2 linked regions of the Astyanax mexicanus genome follow. The main gene of each other region encodes a partner of the protein of the gene in region 2 in a complex. Links are inferred from orthologs where the notes say so. Each region holds a gene or a part of one and is shown on either strand. Other genes may lie near its edges. The genes, in order: ezh1 and eed.

Region 1 (3,925 bases), on a different chromosome or scaffold from region 2:
ATTTATGTAAAAGAAATAACAAACAAATAAATACACTTGAGAATATGCGGCGCCTGAATATTATTATTAATGATATTATTATTATTTATATGTATTATTATTATAGCCCTCCAGGTTCTGTATGGGTGTTTTATGTAATGGACTGTACCGCTGCTCTCCGCTGGGAGGCGCTGCGCTTCTCTGTCTGAGTCACGTGTCCGGGCGGCAGCGTGGTTTGACTCCAGCGTTGTTTTTCCCACTCGTCCTCTGACAGGCCCCGCCCCTCCAGAGCTCTGGAACAGAGGACCGCTCACTAACAAATCCCAGCACAGGGGGCTGGTCACTACTAACCAATCCCAGCACAAGAGGGCGGGGCTTGTGGAGTACAGTTAGAAAATAACAAAATAAATATATAAATACATACATAAATACATACATACAGTCAGCATCACCTCCACACAGATCTGCGGAGTTTGTGTGGGCGTTACTCACACCGGCCCATCGTGTGTTCTGTTCCTCTATAATTACAACATGAGCCTAATGACAAAATTACATAATACAATAATAATATATATATAATTATAATAATAACACTATAGCATTGTTGTTGTTGATGACATGATAGAATAGAATACGTATTCTATATAATAGAATGCTTTATTTTATAACTAACATTATTACTACTAGCACTATTACTCCTACTACTGCTACTACTACTACTACTACTACTACTACTACTACTACTAATAATAATAATAATAATTATTAATCAATATTAAATAGATAAATAGTACATAGCAGTATACATACCAGCAATACTACGCATATTATTGATGGCAATGCTAATAACATTACAAACTACCATTATTGTACTATTATAAATGTGTCCAATACACAGTAATGTACATATCAGCACTCTAGCAACAGTAATACATCTGCATTATATCTATTATATTAGTGATATTAATGATAAACATAATATTATTACAATTTTATTACACTATTATTATTATTATTATTATTACTGTGTATAATTGTTTGAATGATGTGATGAGTCATGTTTCGTGTTTGCTGCTGCTCGGTGTGTGTGTGTAGTGTGTGTGTGTGTCCGCTCCGTGCAGTCGCTCCTAATAAAGACGTCACACTCCGACCAGCCCCGAGTGCGCAGCTCCTAAAAACTGGAAGGCAGCTGAGCTCAAGTCTGGGCCGCTGCGGTGCTGCCCGCGCGCTACGGGTGACGCGGGGCTGCGGGCTGGTCCTCGAGGACGCTACAGGGGTCTGGAGCTCGAGCCCTTCAGCGTGTGGAGACCGAAACGCGGGGACACGCGAGTCTGAAGGTATTCCGAAACTGTGTGCACTATGTGTAAATGTGTGCCTGCGTGTGAACGCGCGCGTTCGTGTGTGGTGTGTGTGTGTGCGTGCGTGCGTTTCACAGCAGCAAAATCCCCTGCAACGTGCGTTTATAGCAGCGTTCCGCGTGCGCGCTGCCTCGCATGACGCTAAAACTAGCACGCTACATACACGCCGCGAAGTGGCGCGTGCATGCATGCGTGTGCATATGTATGTGCGTGTTTGTGCTGTAGCAGTAATTAGGTGGCCATCGTACAGAAGAAGTGATATTCTTCGACGCAAGCGGCTCGTGCGTGGTGTTGCCCGTCAACCCGCCACCCCCTCTCTTTTTTCCTCCGCACGCACGATCTCTCGTGCACGCGTGCTTTTGGGTTTTTGGTTCTCTGCAAAAGCAGATCTTTGTTGCTAATTTTCAGGAGGATTCGAGAGGATTTGGGGGCTGTTATGAAAGTGCACTGCGCACTTTTTAGTCGCGAGGAGTAGGAGGGGAAGGAGTCACGCCCACTTCCAGTCTCGAGACGAGAGGTTGCATGTGTTTTTCTCCTGCTACACGCGTGCACGCGCGCTCACACCACCGTCAGACTGCTCACTCACACTGAAGCTCGCTGTTTTCCCCCGTATTCAGCCACCGGATGTGGAATGTTGGTGTTAAATTTAGGTGACTACCCTAATAATGCTGACCGCGCGCGCAAGTGAGTGACTGTTTTTTCCAGGAAGGGCTTTAAAGCCCTTTAAACAGGGCGAGCTGCAGTTCTGTTTTGCTGCGAGCAGGAGGCGCCGGAGCGAGCAGAGCAGGCGCGCGGGAGTAATGCTCCTCAATGACAAAGTTTGAGTCATGTATTTTGTGAGTCTGTGTGTGAAGCTGCTGTGTATGAGATCTTATCACATCTGGAGAAATTCACTCCAGAGCATCATCAGTGTGAATCTACTGCTATCCTCTGTCTTTGAAACATTTTTATGTTCTTATTAGTTCTGTTTTTCAGCATTTTTTTCCAAAATTGACTTCTTATCTATATATTTGTTGACATCTGGCATGATATGTGTTTTGTTTCTGTAGGTTATTTTAATGGGGCATTCACACCTACCTTCCCAGCTGGCATTTCAACGTTGTATAAACGTTGAATCAACGTTGATCAAGGTAGATGTTGTGGTTGAATCAACGTTGAATCAACTGTTGATTTTGAAAAGGAAATCAACGGTAATATAGCAACGTTGTGTCAACGTCATATGTTCAACCACTAATAAACCATAGCTCACTAAAATGAGACAATCGTATGGTTAACAAAGTGTTAACAATAAACTTACATCACTGTAGTAAAGCTGAGTATAAAGAAAGTTACCCACCACTACCAATTTGATTCAACATTTGATCTCAAAAACACTAAAACCGTAAAACTATTAGAACATGAACATGATGTTAATGTAAAAGCAGTTACTGCAAATAGAAGTAAAACACTGTTTCATTCGTCCATCCCACCATTTTTATAAATTATATGGTGATGAAATGTAAAATGCTGATTCAAAAGGCAGAACGTTGAGTACATTATGTTGATTCAACATTAAAATTTCAATAGCGAAAAAGCGTTGTTTAAACGGTGAAACAACAACATACATTACTTTAGTCATATTTCAACCACATTTCAACGTTGAAGTTCGGTTGTGTGCCAGCTGGGTTGATTTCAGTTTGGTCTGGGTCAAAGTAGCAGTTGTGAAAGGGGCCATAAACCATGAGAACATTTGTTTTGTGAACAATGTGTTGTCCCAGAAAAGAGCTGTTCTGTTCTATGACGGATGCTTAGTTTCACTAAGGGTGTTTTCACACCTGTAGTCCGTTTCTCTGGTCCGAATCAATTTTATGTTTTCTCCCTTTAGTTTGGTTTGGTTTCACACAGGCATAAACATAAATGCACCAAAATGCGCACCAATCAACCACGTGAGCACGTTGTGTCCTCTGATTGGAGAAGATTCTGTGCTCCAGCGCGTATATCTGTGAGGTGTGAAGCTGCTTTAATTTAAGGCTTATTACAACACCTGTGAACAAACGCTTTATCATGTAATAATGTAACAAAGACAGAAACCTTGGTGCAGACAGGTCTGGATATTTAGTTGTGAAGGGTTAGATTAAATATTGCTATTTGCTACAATATCACGTAGCAAATATCACGTGTAGGTTATTTTAAACCTGTGTTTTAAAGCCTAGGATTGCAGGTTAGCCACAGTGCTAAAAGCTGTGATTCAAACAAACACAGCAGCTGGTCTCGGCAGTGTTGTTGTTTCAACAAATTGCCAGCTGTCACCTTTGTTTGCAGTGCTGTCGTAAACAAAAACACAGATTTCTACAGACTGGAACTGAATCGCCTGTAATCCAGATTCTTCTTGAGACCTGCCTTTGCTGTGGAGTGACCCACTGCCACAACTGCTGGTGTGATGACCTAGGGAGCCATCAAATGCAATAGTTGGTCACCCCTAGTAGTGATATGAGGGACTCTTACAGCTCAGCTGTAAGGATATCCTGTAGCCACATGTGTTTCTTCTCATGGCAGGGTATTTTTCTGGCATTTTTCAGCAGGATAATGCTCACCCTCACACAGCACAG
Region 2 (3,925 bases):
AGTCTGATACAGAGGTGAATCTGTCTCTATAAAACAACATTTTAATATTTTTTTGTTTCTTTGTGATAAAATAAATTAATGTGAGTCCATCTCAGGGTAATATTAATATTTTTTTGATGAAATGACACATAAAATCACATGTTTGCGCGCTGTGTGCGCTGTGTGTTTTAGCGTTTGGAGAGGGGTGTTTTTTTTGTGACTTGGTGACGGTTTGGCATGCCCCTCCCCCAGCCATTCGGAGACCAATCAGGGCAAATTACGTATCAGTGTTTTCGTCTAAGGGTGGACTATTGGTTGAAATAGGTGTCAATCACTTTTGTGACGCTGGAAAAAGCCTATGATCTGATTTGATTGGACAGCCCTGAACACCAGCGCGATCCAGCGCTCACGCCATTGGTTCAAAAGACGATCACTCAAGAAAAGTAGTGGATTGTAGACCAATAAAAACCACTGAATCTAGAAGAGGACACCCTTAGCTTTGTATTCACGTACAACTTTACGGAAAATATTCCATTGTGTAGTCGCTGGGAGCTTGAGAATACGACGTTACGGCTGCGCTGAAACTAAACGCATGTTTTTGAGGAGCCGTGAGCAGGCAAATAAAGGACTTTATGGATATTTTACCTGCGGTTCAGTGCTGTATTGTGGATGCTGTGATAGTAAGTGAATTTTCAATAATATAATATGATGTTATTTTATACACTAATATTATTTTATAAGGCTATTTTGTTGGGGAGGCGTGTTTCTCGTGTAAACAATGTGAAAAAACAGGCTGTTTTCAGTTGGCGATTTCTGGCGACTGGTTTCATGTAGATGGCTGTAAATTTGCATGCAGGTAGTTAAAGTAGTACTAAAGAATATGAGTCGGTTATTTGGTCGGTATGTTTAGAATATTTGACGCTTTTAAGCGTTCTAATTTACATAGTCAGAACGGGCCCGCCGGCGGGCCCGCTAGAGGGCGCTTCTGCAGTAAGAGGTTAAAATGACAAGCAGACGACATTCAAGTGGGCTGATGTGGGTGAAATCTGTGGACTGACCATTGGGGGCGCTATTAATGATATACCTGTTTGTTAAACAAAAAAAAAAACCAAACGAATAAAAAAAAAAATAACAGAATAAAGGAGCTAGCAGTTATCTAACAGCCCGTGGCTCTATCAAAAAATCTTTAATAAATTTTTCTGTTTTGGAAAATTAAGTTTCTAAATAAAGAGCATTTTTGAGACGGACAGTCCGATTTTTTTTTTCATTATAGTTCAACCTCACGGGCCAGATGTTTCTTGCTTGCGGGCCGCATCTGGCCCGCGAGCCGCCTATTGCCGACCTATGACCTATAACATATGAGCTTAGACTGACGTAGAAGCTTAGTAAAGTGTTTGTCAAATGGATTTGATAAGTTGTCTATGAATTGAAAAAAAAAATGTGCTGAAGCTGCAGCACAAAATCTCAGCTGTCTGTGAGTGGTGATGTGGAGCTGGAGTAAGCTCGTTTTTAAAGTAAGTTATAAACTATGATTATTAATTCCTCAATCAAATATTACAACGGATGCTGTTAGTTGGATGTTTAACGTTGCATTTTGGGTGAAATGTGATGTTAAAAACTAGTCGATAAAGTTTTCCCCACCCCCTAGCCTCAACGTTGTTAACCCTTCCCCACCCACCCGTTTTCGGCGACGCGGACCTTTCCTCCCTACCTAGCGGAATTTCAAGAGAAAACACAACGTGGATGGTCACTGACCTGTTTTAATGGAAAGAGGAAGGATTGACAATGACCCCAGACTATATTTCAAACATAACAATAGTTTATTATTAAGTATTTTATTGTTTAAATGCTCAACTGTACGGAATACTGAAGTGTACGTAATACCGTTCTCTTTAACTAATATTTTAGTTAATAGACTTTTTTACAGAAAGTTCATATTAGATTTTTTTTTTGTGTTCATCACAGGCACATAGCATTCTTATGTTTTCATCACTGGATCTTAATTCAGGTCTAAAAGGGCTAAATTAACTAGTGAAACTACCCAAGCTAAGCTAGCCCAGCTATTTTATTACACTGAATTCAGCGAGTTAGCCAGCAGCTAACCTGAACAACAAAACTGGAAGCTAGCTCCGCTAACCTCGCTAAAGTGAGTCTCACAGAAAACAAAGCCTATAGAAACACAGAAAAGGGTTAAAAAAGGACAATTTTACACCAGTCCGCCCCAGGCTCGATAAAATTAAACACATCAGAGGTAAGTTATTTTAACCAGCGAGGGAAACTTGCAGCTCCGGTAAACAGAGCATCAGTAGAGGCGGAGAGAGAGAGCGAGCCGCGGCCCCGGATCCCCGGAGCTCCCGCTAACATATATATAACTAGAACCCGCCGCCGCGGGATCTTCTCTTACGTTCTCGTCTCCGGAAAGGTCCGGGTTGCTGTTCTCGTCGCTGCTTAGTTTCTGCTTTTTTGCCGGCATGTCGTTTCCCGCCTCGGCAGGAGCTTCAGACATCTTCCCCCTCATCTTCTTCTTCCTCTGCTGAAGAAAAACCCGGCGGCCACGCTGCGCTGCCACAAAGCGGCGTGGAGAGGAGCTCCGCTACTGCAGACCGAAGAACGGTGCTCTGTCGAGTTGCGCTACGCGTCGAAACGTGCTTCCTAAAGGCACTGCGCATGCGCTGACCTACAGCTATCAATTATTTCTCGCTTTTTTATATATATAGGAAATATTTTTTGTACATTAAACAACATGGACTCACTGTCATCAAATAAAAATATATAATAATAACAATAAATACAATAATAACTATAAAAAAATATTTTGTAATGACCTCTCACTACTACAAAACTGTGCAATGATACAGTGATTTATGCTCTCCAAAAATTTACATAGACTTGCACTGAGAATATGCTCTAATATGGTGCTTATTTTGCATTTAATAAATATACTACAAGGGTAGCACGGTTTGTGAAGGTAGCATAAAAAATTGTGCGATTTAATTTTACAAAAAAAGAAAAGAAAATGCCCGCTGTAGAAGTCTCGGTGTGATATTTGGATAGCCTAAAAAATAGCCTAAATTTGCTGTACTAGAGTTCGTTAGGGCAATATAGGGTATAAGAAGTCGTTTTATATTTATTTTTTATTATATTTTCAAATTTAATACAAAATAATATATAAAATTCAGTGATCTCAGATTGTAAAACACGTGAAAATAGTCAAAAATAAATAAATAAATGAGAATTCACGCATGCGCAGAGCCGCTAAGTAGCACGCATCGACGGGTAGCGCAACTCGACAGAACACCGGGCGTGTTAGCGCGTCCCGAACAGCAGGGGGAGCCCTGAGACAGATCACCAGCCGAACGCTGCAAGAGGACCTGGCACACTCACCGTACGTGTAGGGCACGTCTCAAATAGTGGATTTATACTCCCTAGGTAGGGCACTAAGCTAGCTATTGTAGGTCGATCACTCACGTCCACACTCGTCCTACACAGGTAGGATTTGAATGCATCCCTCCCTGATTTAAAGCAGGGCTTCTCAACAGGTCTCAACCAGGGACCCACTTTTTCTCACCCACTTTTATAGAATACAAAACAAATTTATTTGAGAAAAATAGCCTTCAAAAACCCATTTAAACATATATGCATGCAAAGTGAATTTAAGAGCATTTTTTAATGAAACATGTTGAGGAGGAACATGACAACAACATGTATAAAAGTTACTACAGTAAAATTAAATATGAAAACTGCACAAAAGCAATCAATCAATCAAGCTTTATTTTGACTCGGAAGTACATTAAAGGCAACCTTACTTTCAGAATAGCAAAGCATTTACAAAAACAGGGAATGACATGGCAAAGAAAATAATATGTACATGTAATCATTTCAAAATAACAGTGAATAAAACTAAAATAGATAAAAATAAAATAAGAATAAAAAACAATACTAAAAC

Evidence for each region.
Region 1: the proteins of eed (region 2) and ezh1 are in contact, whole or in part, in a cryo-EM structure (PDB 7KTP), measured with the Homo sapiens proteins. The link is inferred for Astyanax mexicanus from reciprocal best matches to the Homo sapiens genes EED and EZH1. Residues at the interface, in NP_003788.2 of Homo sapiens: Cys84, Val85, Asn86, Ser87, Leu88, Lys89, Glu90, Asp91, Trp103, His104, Ser105, Lys106, Glu107, Val112, Arg120, Leu123, Tyr124, Gln129, Gly130, Glu131, Ile132, Arg133, Leu134, Leu135, Gln136, Ser137, Tyr138, Val139, Asp140, Tyr154; in NP_001982.2 of Homo sapiens: Gly37, Ala38, Lys39, Leu41, Tyr42, Val43, Asn45, Phe46, Lys48, Val49, Gln50, Lys52, Thr53, Gln54, Leu56, Asn57, Glu59, Trp60, Leu63, Arg64, Val65, Gln66, Pro67, Val68, Gln69, Ser70, Met71, Cys83, Thr84, Ile85.

What each region holds. Positions count from the first base shown.
Region 1 is NC_064426.1:22,696,090-22,700,014, forward strand, and holds the start of ezh1 (histone-lysine N-methyltransferase EZH1), read left to right. Parts: upstream 1-1,130; 5' UTR 1,131-1,316; intron 1,317-3,925.
Region 2 is NC_064428.1:19,808,262-19,812,186, forward strand, and holds the start of eed (polycomb protein eed), read right to left. Parts: upstream 2,573-3,925; 5' UTR 2,498-2,572; coding exon 2,384-2,497; intron 1-2,383. UniProt on the Homo sapiens protein: Polycomb group (PcG) protein. Component of the PRC2/EED-EZH2 complex, which methylates 'Lys-9' and 'Lys-27' of histone H3, leading to transcriptional repression of the affected target gene.